Linked DNA regions of Stegostoma tigrinum. The protein of the gene in region 2 interacts with the protein of the main gene of each other region in a pairwise test. Links are inferred from orthologs where the notes say so. Each region holds a gene or a part of one and is shown on either strand. Other genes may lie near its edges.

Evidence for each region.
Region 1: the proteins of tnip2 (region 2) and stk11 interact in binary tests that used the Homo sapiens proteins (3 or more experiments, as listed by UniProt). The link is inferred for Stegostoma tigrinum from reciprocal best matches to the Homo sapiens genes TNIP2 and STK11.

What each region holds. Positions count from the first base shown.
Region 1 is NC_081383.1:17,097,226-17,107,598, forward strand, and holds the start of stk11 (serine/threonine-protein kinase STK11), read right to left. Parts: upstream 4,895-10,373; 5' UTR 4,797-4,894; coding exon 4,435-4,796; intron 1-4,434. UniProt on the Homo sapiens protein: Tumor suppressor serine/threonine-protein kinase that controls the activity of AMP-activated protein kinase (AMPK) family members, thereby playing a role in various processes such as cell metabolism, cell polarity, apoptosis and DNA damage response.
Region 2 is NC_081356.1:130,374,501-130,384,524, reverse strand, and holds the start of tnip2 (TNFAIP3-interacting protein 2), read right to left. Parts: upstream 4,709-10,024; 5' UTR 3,888-4,708; coding exon 3,540-3,887; intron 1-3,539. UniProt on the Homo sapiens protein: Inhibits NF-kappa-B activation by blocking the interaction of RIPK1 with its downstream effector NEMO/IKBKG.

The DNA.
Region 1 (10,373 bases), on a different chromosome or scaffold from region 2:
ATCCTTTTCCATCATTCACATCACAGCTAATCACTAACATGACTCCATTCAACTGGCTTTGTTCCATGTCCCTTACACTTGAAAATTTGAACTGTCACATTCATGGCTTTCTATATGTTTCCTCAAAAATCTCCATGACTATCTCTGAATTGGCTTTTTCCAGCGTAAATATTTTGACCTTAATCTCTCTTAACTCGTATGCCTAATCTCAGGTATGTTTAGTTTCCCTTCTCTCAAATCAGGATGTGCTTAAGTACTATGTTGACTTTAACAGTACTTGATACTCAAAGTGGACGATAACCCAGTATTATATCTGGAGCTGATGGAAGAACTTGCAGAATGATATTAAATTTGTTTGGCAAAGATTTGGATGCATCTCTTCCATAGTCATCAAGTCCTAGGGTGAACCAAAAACATAAAATACTTGATAAACTCAACAGGTCTGGTAGCATCTGTGAAGAGAGAAGCAGCATTAACATGTCGAGTTCAATGCCGCTCTTCCTTTGAAATATTAACTCTATTTCTGTCTTCACGGATGCTACCAGATCTGCTGTGTTTCTTCAGCTTTTTCTGTTACTGTTTCAAATTTCCAGGATCTACAATACTTTGCTTCCGTACTAGTCCTAGAATGGCACTGGAACACAGAGCTTGATTCCAAAAGGTAGCGTTTCTATGACTGTATCACAGTAAAATGCATCGACTAATATGTTTGACATAATCATAAGCATATAAATTACAATCATAACATAATGGCAATCTCAGGAAAATTAATGTCAATAAACAGCTTACAGTTAACTGTTCCAGACAGCAGTTGGTAAATCTGCAAAAGGAGTGCCTTTATCAGCAAATTGGGTGCTGATTAATTTTTTTCATAAAGGAATGCATTCATAAATAGCCACAGATAGCCAAATGGCCTAAGTCATTCCAGTTTTCTGTTCCAGTCCTACTTAGGCTCCTGTTCTCAAATATTTATTGGCACACTGAGTGCTTCAATGCCATGGCCTCCGCTAATGGTTGACAACTTCAACAAGTATCTGATGACTGTATCTCAAGTAAAGATATGCAGAGAAAGCAGATGCATTAGTGGTAAGCTTTCAAAAATTGCCAGATTCTGAAAAGCTTCCTGCACACTAAGGATCGGCAAATACAACACGCACTCAAGCAGGAAGACAGAATGCAAAAACTATAGTCCAATTAATCTTTGTATTTCAGGAAATGCTAGGATCCAATTCTAAAGTGGTACACGCAAGATATGTAAGAAATTGTAATCCTAGCAAGCAAAGTCAACAGAGTTGTGAAAGGGAATTCATATTTGATAAACCTATCACCATTCTTTACAGTTGTAAAATGCAGGGTAGAAAAAGAGGAACCTATGGATGCAGTGTATTTGAATGTGCTAAAAGCATTCGATAAGGGTACCAGATTAAAGTTACCACACAAGATGCTCATGGTATTGGGGATGATAGTGAAGTGGCATGAGGGTAAGTACTGATACCTCAGGGATAAAATATATATCAATACCTTAGGCTAAAGGACAGATAATATTGCCACAAGCTTATAAATGATTTTTTAAAATCCAGTAGAAAAGCAACTAACGAAAAAGATTCAGAAGCTTTGTGGACTTTAACGGGAAACATTGAAAAGTAGTTAAAAATTAAATTCAGGGCGCGAGCGAATGCAAAACAAACATGTGGAAAGAATGGATTCTCTTTTGACAAAAGGTTAAATGCGTTGGGCCCATACACATGAGTTTGGAAGAATGAAAGTTGATCTCATTGAAATACAAGGTTTGAATGAGTTTGATAGGGTAGTTGTGGAGAGGATGTTTCTCCTCATACAGAAATTTAGAAATACTGTGCACATTTTAAAAATAAGCAGTCTCCCATTTAAGATCGAGATGAAAAGAAATGTATTTTCTCAGGGTCATCAGCCCTTGAAATTTTCCACAGGCAGCAGTGGAGGCTGGACTATGGACTATATATGAAGCTCAGGTAGACAGAATTTTGACCAACAAGGGAATCAAAGGTTACAAGCAGCATTCAAGAAAGTAGAATTAAGTCTTAAATCAGATCAGCCATAATCTTACTGATTGGCAGAACAGATCAAAGGCTGAATGGCCTACTCCTGCTCCTATTTTTTTGCTGTGTTATTAATTCCTTAAAACAAATTGCACTTATTCTGCACCTGCAACACAGTAAAACATTCCAAAGTATATCACAGCAGTGTTATCAAAAACATTTGATGCTGAGGTACATAAATAGAAAAAAAAACTATGACAAATGGCCAAAACTTGATCAAATAAATTGTGTTATGGAGTACTTAAAAAGGAAAAGAGAGAAATAGTGAGGTTGAAAAAGGCAATTCCAAGACTCAGGGCTTAGGCGAGCCAAAGGTACCGAGTGATGAGACAACATAAATCAAAGATATACATGCAAGATCAGAATTTGAGGAGCAGAGATTTCCAAAAGTACAGGTTACTGCAACCATGAGAAGCAAGGCCATTGAGCGATCTGAATACAAAAATGAGAATTTTAAATTCAAGGTGTTAGTGAGACTACAGCCAATCTACATCAGCAGATGGTTAATAGGTGAAAGGAAGGTTGTGCAAGTTAGCAGCAGAGATTTGAATGAGCTAATTTTACAGAGGATGGAATATTGGCACTGTCAAAACAGAACTGGAGTAGTAATGCCAGGAAGCCTTCAGCAACCAACAATGGGTGGATGCATTATCCACACTTGATTTGGATCAAATGTTTTAGACCTTTCATAGTCCAAATTCACTTGAACAAAATCACTAATATTAACTTTTTAAACACCATGAACCAACATAAAGTAAGAAAAAAATTACAAAGGTTATCCAAAAAGCTGACTGACTGTTCAGTGAAAAACCTACACTTGTTTTTTCAGCTCTGTACATCAGGGTAAGATTTCTTTATAGGAATCAACAAATATTGTTGAATATTTAGACTAGCAAGAATCTAAGTGAGTTTAGCTGTGCTGAAGCAAGTTAGATGCTAGCTATCTTGGAAGAAGGCACGGCACAAATAATAAATGAGCAGGACTCTCATTTAAGAGTTGACTGTATTAACAGTACAAGTGCTCTTTTTTACATATTTTGACTCAATAATTGAAGCAAATGTATGGAGATTTATCTAATATTTGTAAAAGTGGTGAAGAGGATTTCTAAGATTACTGAACAGATATCGGCTACGTCACAATCATCAACTCTCTCAAAATTACATCCCTTTCCCCAAACCCCAAAAGTCATCAATGCTTTCCTCTTTAGTTTCAATGTCATGAACCCAAAAGAACTCACTTCCTTACCGACCTGACTAGACAGCCCTGTGCCAACGCTGAAAGAGAAGAGTCCCAAATTCACAATCACACGATGACCCTTTAAAAACCAACTAAATCTTGCCCCAAGTGAAGCCAGAGTATAAGTATTAATCAAAATTGGGAACTCAGCCAAGGAATGTCCCCAATATTTTTGTTTGGCAAATTAAAAGCTCAGATTTTAGTAGGAAGAATATAAAATCAATAGAACAGTGATAGAAAGCATTTAAATTGTGTTTAAATTTTAATTGAGGTGTCATTTTCAATGAGAACTGTTTCCCTGTTTCACATTTCTAAACACGCAGTTCACATCATCGTTAAGTCAAATACAATACTTAAAACAATGTAAGTTGCTGTTCAGTGGTTGAGTTTTTAAACCACAGAAAGAAATGGGAGCTAGGCGGTTGCAACATTCAACTGGCTAAATTTATCTTTTGGTTGAAAATAAAATTAAACATTGTTCTGCATAATGCTCATTGCTATATGTCGCAAAAATCGCAATGACGACAAACTATATGGTAAATCAACGGGCAATCGTAATCGTTCAAATGTTTTACTTCCTCTTTCTCCAACCTAGATCACTAAAACTGGGTGTTTAAATGGAAACAGCTGTCTCGTACCAATGTCGTCGGTTCAAAATGTTAAGCTCAATATATTACTATAGCTGTGAGATTCAAGAATACGATGTCACTATAACATTTACTCCTCCCCGTTTCAAAAATATGTCAACTTGACAAGTCTGGTACCAGAACTTCATTTTTCTTAATTCAAAGAGACGGAGCACGAAAGTACCGCCTTTGTTACATTGAAAAAAGATATGATCATCAGAAATCCAAAGATTTCAAACCAACATGCAGGTTGGCTGCAGTAAGACAGGCTACTAGTTCACCTCTCGTTGTCCCTTTGGGAGCAAGAATCGCGACGATGGACTGACGGGTTTGGTTGTCAAAAGTGAAAAGTGGCGATGGGGGAGTTGAGGGGGATGGGGTAGAGCCTGTCCAACTGCCACTTTTAGGGATTCGGTGTGAACTGTCAGTAAGCATTACAGGCGCTTCATGAGCCTCGATCGTGTGTGCAATATTTCTACTTCCATCCACTTACTTTTTCACATTCGCTTCCCCGTTCGGGATTCTCCTCAGCTTTTTCTTCTTGAGGATTTTCACGGCCCTCCTGCACAGTGTCTCAGAGTCCAGCATCTCCTTGACTTTGCCGTAGGAACCCTCTCCCAGGAGGTCGCCCATTAGGTACTTTCCGATGATTTTGGCCCGTTTCTTCCTCGGCTGGTAGATCACGTCAGTGGAATCTATCCTGTGGATGAAAGTGTCCACTCCCATGAGGTCGTTGTCACTGATGTAGTCAATGACCTCGTCCATCTCGACATAGTCTCTGAAAGGCGCCAGGATCGACTCGGATTCCTCGGGCTCCTCTGACTGATGTTGTCGTTGCTCCGCTCCATGCAGCATCGCCTCTCCTCCCTCCTCCTGCAAGGAGTTCAGTTGTTAGGCAGCCGCCATTTTGTTTACCTGCCCCTGAACAACTCCGGAGTTGCCGTTGTGCGTCATCACACCCCCAAAGCCCGCTGGGCACTATTCCCTCCTCCTATTGGTAGTCCTCCATGTCTGTTAGCTGCGTTACCAGGCGACGCAAAAACAGGTCCCACCTTCAAACGCTGTTCCTCTTTTCCATTGATCCGACATCATGTCAATTATCGCTGTTACCTCACAACCAGCGACAAAGGCCCGCCTCACACTCAGCGCTCGTAGCTTCTATTGGCTGGTTGCTAGGAAAAACCGCAGCGTTTCATTGGTTGATATCTGTATCAATCAGCGGTATAGCAGCAAATCAGACTAGCCCCTGTTCTAAAATTCCGAGCTTCTAATGGTCACCAGCTCACCTCGCGTCCACTTCAGTCTCCTGCGTTAAGGAGTGTGTTGATGATCTGGTCCTAATCCAGGGGTTTAATATAGCTATGAGAGAGAGAGAGAGAGGTGTGTGAGGGTTATTTTTAAATGCTACATTCTCTCAGACTTTGAACTTAGTGCCCTCGGATTTCTGGTGACTTAACAGGACGGTGAGACAAAATTTTTGCTGTTGCAAAGTTTTAAATTCAATTCACAAGTTTTAAAAAAGGTAATGATTTGTCAATTTTATGCACCGTGGCTACATTTAGATTTAAAGTAACCAGTGCTTTCTAATCAGAATTGAAGTTTTGAATGAATGAACGATTTGTTGTCGCATACCGTGAAGATACAGTGAAAAGGGATTTATCACCACAATCCAGTGCTATTTTGAGTTACAAAGGATAAGAAGAAATTACTAAAATGGGAGTTCGTGTTCCTTTCAAGTTGGGGTCTTCAAGGCTTCTGCAAGGTCTCTGTAAGGTATTCCAAACCCGGAGGAGTCCCCCTCCGCCGACCCTGCAAATGCTGCCCTTACTGACACCACTTCAGGAAGAAAGGACAAACAGAAAGAGAAAACCTGAAAAGTACGTCGAGAAAACGACACCTCTGGCCTGGAGTAGATGGGCTCCAATCAGCCTGAACGGTACTCACTATGCTGGTGCCATTTTCATCAATTTCATGTCCCTGAAATTTAGCTTAACCAAATCACTTTTAACTGGAAATAAATTGTTGCCAACTTTTGTAAAATTTTGGGCTGCATGCTTTCCTGAAAAAGCATATACGTGCTGAAAATCATGTCCCAAGAATTTGTTGACCTAAAGAAGATTTTTTTCACTGTTTTGATAAGTATGTCTTTTTATTTCTTGAAGGGATTTTTTTTACAAAGTCCATTCAACCTGTGACAAATTAAGTAAACCCTTAAAAAAATACTCATTGTGATGTTACAGATCTGCTAGTGTTTGGCACCAGATTTTAAATTAGAATTAACCTTTATTATCACATATACTCAATGAGTATTGTGAAAAGTTTATACAAAGGTACCTGGATACAGCTTCTTTAGTTACTAGTTCATGGATAGATCTTGAAGAAGTAAAATGTCCAGCATTGCAAAAACAAAAATTCCGAACAACAGACCACGCTGACACCGAGCTTCCTGTCCTGGTTCCAGACCGCACTGGGCTTCACCTCGAGGATGATGAGGCTGGGAGATCACTTCAGACTACCATGCCCAGCTGATGATGCCACAATAGCAGGGAGGCTGCTATAAAACTGACTAAAAGCTTTATTATGTTTACACCCAATTTGACATTTGAGTGATGTTCAGCATCAAAGCAGCACAAGAAGGAAATGAGAGATCTCCACTTCCCCTGGTGCCTCTTTCTCTCAGGCAGACAGGATGCTGACAGCAAGTGCCAACAGCAAGGAGCAACACAGAGGGGCCCATATGCTCTGTCTCAGGACACTTAAGAGGCACCCAGCTCCTCCAACTCCCCTATGAAGCCAAAGACTGCAGAAATCAAGCTGTGGAGGGTGAAACCTCATCTGGACAGCACACCACCAACAGGCCTTAGGTCTCTAAGCAAAACACCTCTGGGGACATTAAGCCACGAGTTGCAGCTTACAAGGTTACTTCAGGCCAATGACAGAACAGGGTCCTTCCACCCCAGTTCAGAGTTAGAACTGCACATAGAAGTAGTGGGATGGGCAGGGACCTTATTCTTACTGAGGACATATGGATAGAACAAGTGACACATCACTGTAAATTATCTTGCACATTTGTATATATGCATTTCCACCTTGAAAATGCTTTCTGCAATGCCTTTGTCACTGCCAGACACAATTATGTTGCCCCATGTGAGATATTCTTGCCAGTAATATCCTCATCCTCCTGTTCATCCTTAGAGACTTTGTGTCAATCCCCAGTTTCATTTGCACCCAGACATCCATCCTTTTTTGGCTCCAGCTATGAAGGTTACAGCATGCTGCAACAATGCAACACACACTTTGAGTTAAACTGCAAGGCTCTGCTGGAGAGGTGCAGGCGTCACAACCTCCTGTTAAGAAGCCTATGATCTATTCCACTAGGGCCTGGTGAAAACATAGACAGTGCCATATCTTCGCTGTTAGTGTCAAGGTTTTGTAAAAGTATTATCAGTCATGCTTGGAGGAGTTAATTCTTATTTCTCAACTGCCATTCAAGGACCTTGGAAGTAAACAGGAGGCTGAGACTTCTCTAACTTGGTAGCTCCAGGGTATCTGAAGCACACATATAGCCATATATAATTTGAATATATATGCAGTGGAAGCATTTTCATTTGATGAATTCTACAGGTTGATGTTAGGATGTTTACAAAGCACCACGAATGCATTCTATAACACCCTGCAATTGAGGGAAGCTAGTATTAGTGGAGAATCCCACTTGTATTTTGTGTAACTCTCCTTGTGATGGGGGATTGATATAAACAAGTATGATCTGGAGAAAATGGCATCTCCCATGGTAAGATTTGACCCACATTTCCGTGGGATTCTGGATTACTAACCCACCGATATTACCACAACACTAATGCCTCAGTATGTTCTACTCTGCCTTTGAGCAAGATGGAGCAAATTAATTTTAGTCCACTTTTTGAGCTGGTGTAGTTAATTGAATTTCAGATTCACAATCTCTTTGTAGAGAAGTTTCCGTAAAAACACAGCAGAGATGAATACGCTATGTGGAGAATCATGAGAGTAAAGTCAATCCAATCAGTCTGTGCTATACCACATTAGTACACCAACATGCAATGTCATCACAGTGATGCACATGTTCTGTATTAAATGAAAATACTTGACTGACTCAGTACTCAAGTGCAGAAAATTGATGTTAGATCAACTTGAAAGTGAAAACCAGTTCCACCAGCAATCAGCAGTGCATGAAGCTTTATGCAGCAAACTTCAATGCATTGAGCCATAGAAACATGATGGGAGGATATGCAGGTTTTAATTCCTTTTTCAGGATGGTTGAGTTTTGGCTGGGGGTGCTGAGCAAAGGTCAAAGCATATCCTCCTGGTTAGAAGATTGAAGGCACAATTGCTGTTGCCGACTATTTCTCACACTGTTAGTGATGGCCAGTACAGAAGGATTCATGCTCATCTGTAGCCTTGAGCAGAGTATGATTAACAGTGGAAAGTTTTGAATGAATAGAGAGGTTTGATATATACGGAACAAATTAAATAAGATTTCTAAACCTTCCTGGAAGTACTGTCAACCTAACTCATGGCTTTTTGCAAAAGTAGTTCCTGTTTACCAGAGTGTAAAGAGAAAAAAAACTTTTGTCAGAGAGTAGGAATAGGGTGGACATGTTGTGTTTAAAAGCTATGCAATGCACATTCAGCAAAAATATGAATATATCAATAAAAACAGGCTATATTTCTCTTAAAGGAGGATGTAAACTCTATAAATTCAGAGCATGGCAATCTAACTGTGGATTGTGAAAGTTTATGTGCTACATTGTAAACGTCATCAAATAACATCAAAATGCTCCTTTTGTTACAGGGCCAACCTATTTGTAAACTGAGGGCCCATCAGCAATGGGATAGCATTATATAGAGGTTGAATGTAAGAAAAAAAATAAGCACCTAACCATTTCAAATCCTACTGCATGACTAAAAAAAAGGTGAAGTTGTCATAGTCCTGCTGGACGACAGGGGAAAACAAGTGCAAATTAAGTTTCTGAAAACTAAAATGTAAAAGAAGCAGGACACAGAACTGAAAATTTCATTATATTACAGAATTTCACAATTTCACAATATCAGCAATCCAACATTGTGGTCATTCTCTGTAAGATTTCACATTTATTTTCGATCAGATTCAGTTCATTTGGTAGCAGTGTCAACTCTGACCTAGAAGGTTGGAGGTTCATGCCACATTCCTGAGAACAGAAATTTAGGCTGATAATGCAAAACAGTTCTGAGGGAATGCTGCACTGTCAGATGAACAATCTTTCAGATGGTAGGTTAAACTGAGACTGCTTTTCTCTCTCAGGTGAGCACAGAAGGTCCCCACTGTCTGCTGTTAGTTCCTCAGTCAACATCACAAAACAGATTAGATGGTCATTATCACATTACTATTTGTAAGAACTTGCATGCTAGTTGACTGCTATGTTGCAGATCAACAAATTGTGTCAACTCCTGTTCCCCTCCCAAAGTGAACATTCAGCACAATACTTATTGCAACACAGCAAGTTCATACAGAGAACAATAACCATCCTGTGCCATTTGACTTGGCCAACCCTGTTCACCGTGAACATCTGTGATATTAATTAAACTGTCCACTCAGTCAAGTTTAGAAAAGCTTCTTTGAAATTGTATCAGCACGTTGTTCAAGAGCGCTACTGTTTCTGATACAGGCAAGACTCCTAGAAACTAAGGAATATTTAAGTTTCTCAACTCCATGAAGGAATATAAAAGAATCAGGGCATGTGTGTGACTTGAGCAAGTGGGAAACAATACAGGGTGTTTTACACTTTGTCTGATTTTTCCATCCCAGTAGATGCCTTTTCACCACTTTGTAATTTACGTTCTACCCATGTTGAATTTGAAGGTCAATAGAAAATGAAACACGGTGGATCTCCAGCCTTTCATTCAGACCTAGGAACAAAAGAAGCCCTGACAAATTTCTCTCAGATTTGTGTTACTTTGCATGTTGCCTGCTTCACTGTAGGATATTTACATTGTTCCTGAAACATCTTCTGGTTTTTTGCTACTCTTATTCAGCAAAGTGGTGGCTCAGTGGTTAGCACTGCTGCCTCACGGTGCCAGGTTTGATTCCACCCTCGGGCAACTGTTTGTGTGGAGTTTGAACGTTCTCCCCATGTGTGTGTGCGTTTCCTCCCACAGTCCAAGGATGTGCAGACCAGGTGGATTGGCCATGCTAAATTGCCTGTAGTGTTCAGGGATGTGTAGATTAGGTGGGTTATATGGGGATGGGTCTGGGTGGCTTGCTCCAAGGATCAGTGTAGACCTGTTGGGCTGAAGGGCCTGTTTCCACTCTGTAAGTATTCTATGATATGAGGATGTACAGTAATATTGCAATAAAGCAGCAAGCTACAATAATACAGTTAATCCATTACTAAGGTACCTTAAGACACAGCAAAGCTC
Region 2 (10,024 bases):
GCCAGCTCCCAAAAAGAGCAGTTGATAGAGAGATAAATATTGGATAACCAGGAACCTCCTTTTTGTCAGAATAGTACAACGTGATCTCTGTATCCATCAGAGGACAGTCCTGGTTTAATATCCTACCCAAAAGGTGGTACCTCAAAGTGCAACAGCCCCCTCAAGACTGCGACAGAACAACAACCAAAATGTATTGTTCGAGTTTGGAAGTGGAACTTGTAGCCATAGCCTCCTGGCTGAAAAGTGAGGGAGCTACCCGTGGGCAAAGTAACCAGTACAGGCTACTGTGTTGAAAGATCCTCCGCCCTCCCCCCCACCCCGCCCCCATGGAATACCTAAATCATCCTATCATTCAAATTGAACAATGCAAACAAATAGAAACTGTACTGTGTTAACGAAGGCCATTTGGTGTGCACCAGAGCTCATACAACATGAACCGTTATCTTCTAACCCCATCAACACGTCCTTTGAATCTCTTCTTCTTCAAGTGTTTATGTGGCTTCCCCTTAAATGCATTGATGCTTCTCAAGTCAATCAATTCTTCTGACAGCAAGTTCCACATTCTCACTAATCCATAAGTAAAGAAGTGGGTTTTTTCAAAGAAACCTTTCAGATCACCTGAGTTAGTCGACTTTGAATACAGAGTCCTCAAAGTGCCACTGAGTTTCCTGCATAATCTCTCAAATTTCTCTGTAGCCATAGCTGCTTTACCCCAGGGACTGAAACTTACATGGTATTAATAGATCAGTTTGATTTACACGTGGGTGGGATAAAAGAGATCACGCAGAAGGGGGAAGTTCATAATTATGGCAGTCACAGAGTGATTCTGGAAGAAGCAGAACCTCTGCTGACACAAATCAATTTTGGACGCACAAATTCACAAGTATTTGGTTATTCAAATCAAGGATATGCGGGCATTGCTGGAAAGGCCAGCACTCATTGCTCATCCCTATCTTGGGGGAAGTGACTTGCTCGGGCCATTGAGACTCCATCACTTTGCTGTTGATCAGGAGTTACATGGAGACCAGACTGGGCAAGGACAGATTTCCTTCCTTATAGGAAACTTGTAAACAGAAAAATCCAGTAATTTTGTGTTTGCACTTACAGATGCAAATTGATGCCAGATTTATGTTATCAAGTTAGTTTAAATTCCCCACTTTCTTGCTGAAATTTGATCTCAAAATTATCAGTCGCAGCCTCTCATACTATGTTGACGTTCTTCTCTGTTCTCAGTTCAAAAGGACCACATTGAGTATTTTCATATCATATCATATCTATTGGAAGAATGACCAACATGCTTTGCTCTTAATTACTCAATTGCCAAGCAGTCACTCTACTGTATCAAACCACCATTGATATCGTAACAGTGGGCCAGCTCCACCTTCTCTGAGTAACTTGGGACAGTCACTAAAACAATGTCTTTGCCAGCGATACTGACATCCTGAAAAAAAAATCAATATTACAGAGATGTGTTGTTGTGAATGGATGTCAGACATTCTAGGAACACAAAGGGTGCTGTGAATCAGTTGGGTGGACAACAGTGGAGTCATGAGGAAGAGAGGACTTCATGGAGTAAATGCAGAAGTTAGGAATTTTAAGGTTGGAGGCTTCTAGCTTCAGAAATGGAAAAACAGGAAAACCAAATGTCTGGCCAACAGCAAGATGATTGGTCAGACGTGATTCAGTGGATCATACTTTCATCTCTGGTTCAGAAAGCTGCAGGTTCAATTCCTACAGCAACGCAAAATCTAAGCTCTGACATCCCCAGTGTCAGAATGAAGGTGACTTCTTTCAGCTGGGATTGACATAAAGATTCAATGGCCCCCTAATCAAGGAAGAGTACAGGAGTCTCCCCTGGTGACCTGCACAATATTTATCCCTCAGTCAAAATCGGGTTTATTTGAAAACACAAGCTTTCAGAGCCTCAGTGCTTCTTCAGGTGTTAGTAAGAGATAGTGATACCACCTCTCTCACTAACACCTGAAGATGGAGCGAGACGCCAAAAGCTTTGGTTTTGAATAAACTTGTTGGGCTAAAACCTGGTGTCATGCAATTTCTGACTATCTAGATTGACACTCCTAGTGCTGCACTATCAGAGACACTGTCTTTTGGATAAGGCTCTGCGGGCCCTCTCAGGTGATAGCACACTACAGTTTTGTGGAAGTGCAGAGGTATTCTCCGCAGTGTACTTATCCCTCAGCCAATATTACTGTAACAGATTCTGATCTTTATTACCTGCTGTTTTTGGGAACTTGAGCCTAAATTGCGACAGTGATGGCACTTCAAAAGTACTTTATTACCTAGAAATACTCTGGGACAAGGTATTACAAAGACAATGTGTTTCTCTAATTTTCTCATAAAAAAAGCATTCCTTTTAATGTGGCTGACATTTAGGAAAAGAAGAAAAATGTAATTTTTACTCCTTAAAAAAAATGTATTCTTTGTTTCTCCCTCATTGGGCTGTGGTCCCCAGGGCAAAGTTACCACTTATTGGCCATCTTTAATAAGAAAGTAATAGTGACTCTTCTGGACCTCTTGGGAGAGATTTGATACAACTGAGTGACTTGCCACCATGACCATTATTGGGCAGAACTGGAGTCATACAGGTAAGCCCGAGGGGCTGTTTTCCTTTCCTCAAGGGTATTAGTTGAATCAGATCTTATCCTCCCGTATGCATTTGAGGGTGCCTGAAATCTAAAGACGATTTCAAGGTGGGTCACTAGCTGTCTGGACTCCCGGCCTCCGAAGGAGGGAAGTTACACTGTTACGTCAACTGAGACCAATGCTGTGTATCAGAACCCACACAATCAGCTTAGGCAGGCTTCAGTTGATTATTTTTGTTAAAAGACATCCAAAAATACAGTTCATCCAGATCAGTTGTTTTAACTTTGTGCGACATCCCTTCGACACAAGTTGTTACAAGCACAGGAGGCGGCCATTCAGGTCACTGTGCCTGTGCAAGCTTTCTAAAGGAGAAATTCATTTAATAATATTCTCCAACATGTTCACATAACTCTGCATTTTCTTCCGTTTCAGGTAAGTTCACATCCCTTTTGAATGCTTCAATTGATCCTGCCTCCACCATGTTCTCCAGCAATTCATTCTAGACCTTAAATGCTCAATTTAAAAAAAAGTTTCCTCAATGCTTTTGCCAATTACTTTAAAATCTGTGCCCTTTCATTCCTCCATCATTTCATAAGTGGGAACATTTACAATTTACTCTGTCCAGACCTCCTGATTTTGAATAAGCCATGAAACAAATTAATATCAATTAAATATCCACTTAATCTTCTCTGAAAGGACATGAATCCCAAAATCTCCAAACTATCTTCAAAACCAAAACTCCTCATTCCTAGAACCATTCTGATAAAAGTCAGCATCTACTGATTCTGAACAAAAGGGAATTCCTTACCCCAGCAGGTTTTACTCACTTGTGAATTAACCTGGATTATATATTTTCACTATGCCACAGGAAGATTTTTATTATTTTTCCAAAAATACTAGACACATCTTTACAGATAGATGTTTTTGCCCCTTACCTCTTTCAGCTTGGTGTTCTCTTGCTGCCAAATCCTTGCTGAATCCGCCAGCTCCTTTTTGACTTTACCCACCTCTTGCAGCAGACAGTCCACAAGGGAGCCGGACGGACCAAAGCTGACCCCGGGCTCCTGGCCGAAACCGACCGCGATGCTGCCCTCGTAGGCGGCCAGGCGAGCCTGCAGGTCTTTGACCAGGCCGTCCTTCAGGGTGAGCTCCCGACTCAGGCGGCCCACTTCCTGCAGGGTTTCGTGGTAGAAAGTGGTGATGGTGTTGTAGCTTTTTAGCCTGGCCTTCGGAAGCCGGCTGTCCTTTTGCTGCTCCGCATTCTCATCGCCGTCCACAGACATTGTATATAAATGCTGTTCTGAATGCGACCTCCCCCGACTCGGGAAGGGGGGGAAGCAATCAGTCGGGATTTTCTTCTCGAAATTCTTATAAGTTTTTAGAAAAAGAGATATCTAAACGAAGACATTGTGTGCTGTGTCAAATTGTTAAAAAAAGTTGCCAAAAAAGTCGACCCTCGGTCTCTAAATATATATATATAGATTACTGTCTCAATTTTGATTCAGAGGTTGCGGACAATGTTAAAAATGCAGTAATTAGCACAAATTGTCCGTACTTTCTGAGTAGCATTGAAAGCTAATTAATGGGAGACACTGTAGCTAAATGTGGATTCTCTGGAGCGTTCACTCCGACAGGCAGATAGTAAATATGAAGAGATTAAACCTTGTCCTAGGGGCAGTGACTGACTGTATCCATTCCGTTCCCTCCATGTCATTTCGTAATCGGCGTATTTCCATCCAGCAGCTCGGGAATTTCCTCCCCGGGGGATCCCCCTCCTTCTCTGGATTTTTTTTCGTACTTTTCTCTCTTTTGAAAAATAAGGGGCCGATTCTACTCCGCTCACTTGCCTGTGTCCGTCTGGTTCCAATTACCATTTGCTAGTTGAAAGCTCCAAGAAAACCACTCGTAACAAAAAAACACAGGAGCAGGTCTACTTTTTTTTTAAACATTAACACGTGTCTGACTAGCCGGAACTAACTCGGTTGATGGACGTTTTGTGACGTTCTGACGCTTCCTGCTCGGATTTACCCTTTTGCTTTAAATGAGGGGTTTACAACCTTTAAAATCTGATCTTTTTCTTCGACCTCCCCCTCCCCTCTCAAAGTTAACCGTACACATGTCACATTCGTTACACAACACTCCTTCGCCCAGTGGGCGTGTGCTGCCTGTTACAGCAACATCCGCTTCATGTTATTTCTCCTAATTTAGTTACAGTTTCATGTGAATGTGAAAGGCGAGAGAAAGCAATTGGCACTGATTCTCCCAGGAAAAAGGCAAGGTGGGATGGTGAGCGGGCTGTTTGTCAGCAAGGAAGTTTTGTAAATGAAGCTACCGGCCGAAAAAGGTTTTTCAAAACTACACGTTAGAATTATTTGTGTGGGTTTTTTTTCATCAATCAATTCCAGGAAGTGATACATCACCGATCCTTCACTGACAAATGACAAATGATAACTCCCTGTGGGGAGTTCGGATACGATTGTTGAATAGAATTTAGACCACAGATATAGATCCTGTTGACACTTCCCAATGAGGGACAAGTCTCACCACATTCTCTCTCCAGCGGTGTGTTTATTAAGCTTCCCCTGAAATGTTCTTGGCCTTAACTCCTTGTGGTAGTGAAAGATAAACAAAAAATGCTGAAAGAGCAAATCATGTAGGCAGTATCTGTGTCAATGGATCTGTGACCTTTTCATTGCTGCTGTATAATGATTCGTCCGTCCTGCCCATCGTGAGCTAGCATCCACTATTCTCTCTCCTGATAGGGCCTTCTTGGTTTGGTGTGCTGGAGAAAAACAGATTTGATAGTTTAACAAGAAAGGGCTTTTGTTTTTATTAAGATGTTGGTTATTCTAATGATAGCAACTGATGGAATAGACTGAGAGTATGGGCTCATTTGGTACAGTGGCAATGACTCTACCTCTGAACCGGGAGGCCTGAGTTTAGTCCCATTTGCTCCAGCATGGATTAGAAACTGTCTAGATTGAGATTAAGGAGGACCTAGATTGTTGGCCATTTGCTGTTCACAATCCTAAACTTGGGCTTTGCAAGGTGGGGTGGATCGAAAGCTCAAGTGGGGTCAGAACTGAAATGTTGTCATCCTGAACTGTGAGGCAGCAGTGGTCACAGTGGAGCCCTGACTGAGTTATTACCAGCTGTGCTCCCAGTCTGACAGGAACACCCCCTCACTTCTGATCTACCACTCAACTCTCACAGTTCACACTGTGGGATCAGATCAAATTTCAAGGCTGGGTGTGGCTTCTGCAGGAACAGATTGAGGAAGGACTATCCAAATTTACCCTCCCACCAAGTCCCTATGATATCATCATAGTGGATGGTGCTTAAGACATTAGGGACAATTAACCCTTTCAAACCCTGACACAGACCACTTTGAAAAAGGCACTTTCTCCTGTAAATCTTTTTGGATCGTTTGGGGACTAACTCCTACTTTCTCCTCTAGTTTAGGATGCCATCTCAGCAGGTATCTTGGCTTTGCAAATCATTGGTGCAGATTTGTGGGCAACATTTGGCCCATATCCGTCTAAACCCTTCCTCTTCACGTACCCATCCAGTTGCCTTTTAATTGTTGTAATTGTACCAGCCTCCAACACTTCCTCTAGTAGCTTGTTCCATACATGCACCACCTTGTGCCTGAAAAAGTTGCCCTTTAGGTCCTTTTTAAATCTTTCCCCTCTCACCTTAAACTTATGTCGTCCAGTTTTGGATTCTCCCACCCCAGGGAAAAGAACTTGTCTATTTAAGATAACAAGGTGTAGAGCTGGATGAATACAGCGGGCGAAGCCGCCTCAGAAGAGCAGGAAGGCTGACATTTCAGGCCTAGACTCTTCTTCAGATCCTTGTCTATTTACCCTGCCTCTGTCCCTCATGATTTATAGACCTCTATAAGGTCACCCCTCAGCCTCCAACGCTCCAGGGAAAACAGCCCCAGCCTTATTCAGCTTCTCCCTATAACTCAAACCCTCCAACCCTGGCACTCTCCTTATAAATCCTTTCTGAACATTTTCAAGTTTCACAACATCCTTCCTATAACAGAGAGACCAGAATTGCACACAGTTTTCCAAAAGTGACCTAACCAATGTCCTGTACAGCCGCAACATGACTTCCCAACTTCTATGCTCAATGCACTGACCAATAAAGATAAGCACACCAAATGCCTTCTTCACTACCTTGTCTACCTGCGACTACACTTCCAAGGAACTATGAACCTGCACTCCAAGGTCTCCTTGTTTGGCCACAGTCCCCAGGACCTTACCATTAAGTATAAAAATCCTGCCCTGACTGACCTTTCCAAAATGCAGCACTTCACATTTATCTAAATTAAACTCCATCTCGCACTCCTCAGTGGCCCATCTGATCATGATCCTGTTGTACTCTGAGGTAACATTCTTCACTGTCCACTACACCTCCAATTTTGGTGTCGTCTGCAAACTTACTAACCATACCTGCTATGTTCACATCTAAATCATTTGTACAACTGACGAAAGCAATGCACCCAGCACTGATCCTTGTGGCACACCGGTCTCCAGTGTGAAAAGCAATCCTCCATCTCCACCCTCTGTCTCCTACGTTCGTTTCCAAATGGCTAGTTTTCCCTGTATTCCATGTGATTTAACCTTGCTGACCGGTCTACCATGAGAAACCTTGTGAATGCCTTACTGAAGTCCATCTAGATTAAATCCACTGCTCTGTCCTCATCAATCTTCTTTGTTACTTCTTCAAAAAACTCAGTTAAGTTAGTGAGACACGATTTGCGGGTGCAGAAGAAGAAACATCTTAACCAGTACAAGAAAGCAAGTTTAATAAATTATTTAAGGTTTTAGCCAAGATCTGTAGCTCGGGTTGTGGGTGAGGTTGTTGACTTGCTCACCAAGCTGGCTTGTTCTCATTCAGACATTTCATCACCACGGTCGGTGATATCAATAGTGGAGTCTCTGATGAAGCTATGTTATTCTACTCCATTTGGAATTTATACTGCCTGGTCCATTATGGCGAGTAATGTTATTCCCAGTTCTGATCTGTATGGATTTGTATATGGCATCCAATTCTATTTGCTTGCTGAATGTTTGGTTTTGATCTGTATGGGTTTGTATATGGGGTCCAATTTTATATGGTTGTTGATTACATTACGGGTGGAGAACCATGCCTCTATAAATTCCTGTGCGTGTCTTTGTTTGGCTTGGGCTACTACAGTTACGTTGTCCCAGTTGAACTGATGGCCTTCGTTGTCCAATTGTGCTGATATTAAGGAGAAATAGACATGCTGTTTTGCTACTAGTTGATTTTTGTGTATTCTGATGGCTAGTTTCCTTTCTGTCTGTCTGATGTAATTTTTGTGGCAGCCCTTGCATGGAAATTTGTAAACTGTGTTGGTTCTGCATGTTGTGGGAGTGGGGTCTTTAATCCTTGTGAGTGTTCCCAAACATGCAGAACCAACGCAGCCATCAGAATATACAAACATCAACTAGCAGCAAAATGACACCATGAACTTTCCTTAAAATCGGCACACTCGGACAACGAAGGCCATCAGTTTAACTGGGACAAGGTAACTGTAGTAGCCCAAGCCAAACATAGACGTGTACAGGAATTTCTAGAAGCATGGTTGTCAACCCATAATGCAATTAACAAACATACAAAATTGGATCCCTTTTACAAACCCATACAGATCAAAACAGGAAATGACAGTACTCACCATAATGACCAGATGGCGGAGTAGAACAACATCACTTCATTGGAGGCCTCACTGATGATGTTACCGAGCATGGCGATGAAATGTCTGAATGAAAACAAGCCAGCTCTGCGAGCAAGTCAACAACCTTTAATAAATTATCTCAATGTTGAAAGATTCCCTTAGGCAACATTGACCATAACATGGTAGCATTTAACGTTCATAGAACATAGAACATAGAACAACACAGTGCAGAGCAGGCCCTTCGGCCCTCGATGTTGCGCCGACCTGTGAACTAATCTAAGCCCATCCCCCTACACTATCCCACCATCATCCATATGCTTATCCAAGGATTGTTTAAATGCCCCAAATGTGGCTGAGTTAACTACATTGGCAGGCAGGGCATTCCACGTTCAGTTTGGGACTCAGTAACCTGGATCGGAAACAACTGTGTTAAACCTAAAATAATTACAAAGCAATGAAGGCAAAGCTATTTGGAGTGTACTGGGGAAGGAGTTTTCATAGAATCCCTACAGTGTCTAAACAGGCCATTTGGCCCAACAAATCCACACTGCCCCTCTGAAGATCATCCCACCCAGGCCCACTCCCTTATCCCTGCATTTCCCATGTCTAACCCACCTAACCTAAACGTGCCTGGGCACAATGGATAATTTAGCATGGCCAATCCACCTACCCTGCACATCTTTGGACTGTGGGAGGAAACTGGAGCATCTGGAGGAAACCTACACAGACACGGGGAGAATGTGCAAACTCCACACAGACAGTCACCGAGGCAGGAAATGAGCCCGGGTCCCTGGCGCTGTGAGGCAGCAGTGCTAACCACTGAGCCACTGTGCTTCCCCCAAGTTTATCCCCTTCCGACAATTCTTCTTTCTCACAGGGATAAATCTTTATGTTTTGTAGGAAAGCCAAATGGCAGACATTTAAGAAAATAGTTAATGGCTCACAACAAAGATTTATCCCAGTGAGAATGAATGATTGTAGAAAAGGGATAAACTAAACATGATTAAGGATAGTTAGGGATAGCATAAAACAGCATAGCAAAGATTAGTGGTAATCCAGAAGATTGGGAAAGTTTTAAAAAGCAACAAAAGAAAAAAATAATAAAGAGGGAGAAAATAAACTTTGAGAGTAAACTTGCAAGTAATAACACAACAGGCAGCAACAGCTTCTTTAAATATATAAAAAGGAACAGAGAGGCCAAAGCGAACACAGGCCCCTTAGAGAATGAGGCTGGGAAAATAATATTGAAGAATAGGAAAATGACTGAAGCAATGAATAAGTACTTTGCATCAGTCATTACTGTAGAATACACTAGTAACATTCCAAACGATATTGAATCATCAAACAGAAAATAAGCAAGGAAATAAACACAATGGTTATCACTAGAGAATACATACAAGGGAAACTACTATTATATCTCATGGATCTGATGTGTCACGTTTTAGGATGTTAAGGGAAGTAGCTGCAGAGACACTGCTGGTAATTCTCCAGGAATCCTTAGATCCTGAAAATATCTCAGAGAATAAAAAACTATACAAGCAAGGAACAGGAGGTATCTGTTTAGCCCCTTAGGCCTACTTCATTACATCACAGTAGCTGATCTATATCTCTGTCCAATTGATCTGCTTTTGCTCCACATCCCTTCCTGAATCAAAATCGAACTTTCAGTCTTGAGAGTTTGGATTCGTTCCCATGGAACATGAACAGCTGTTT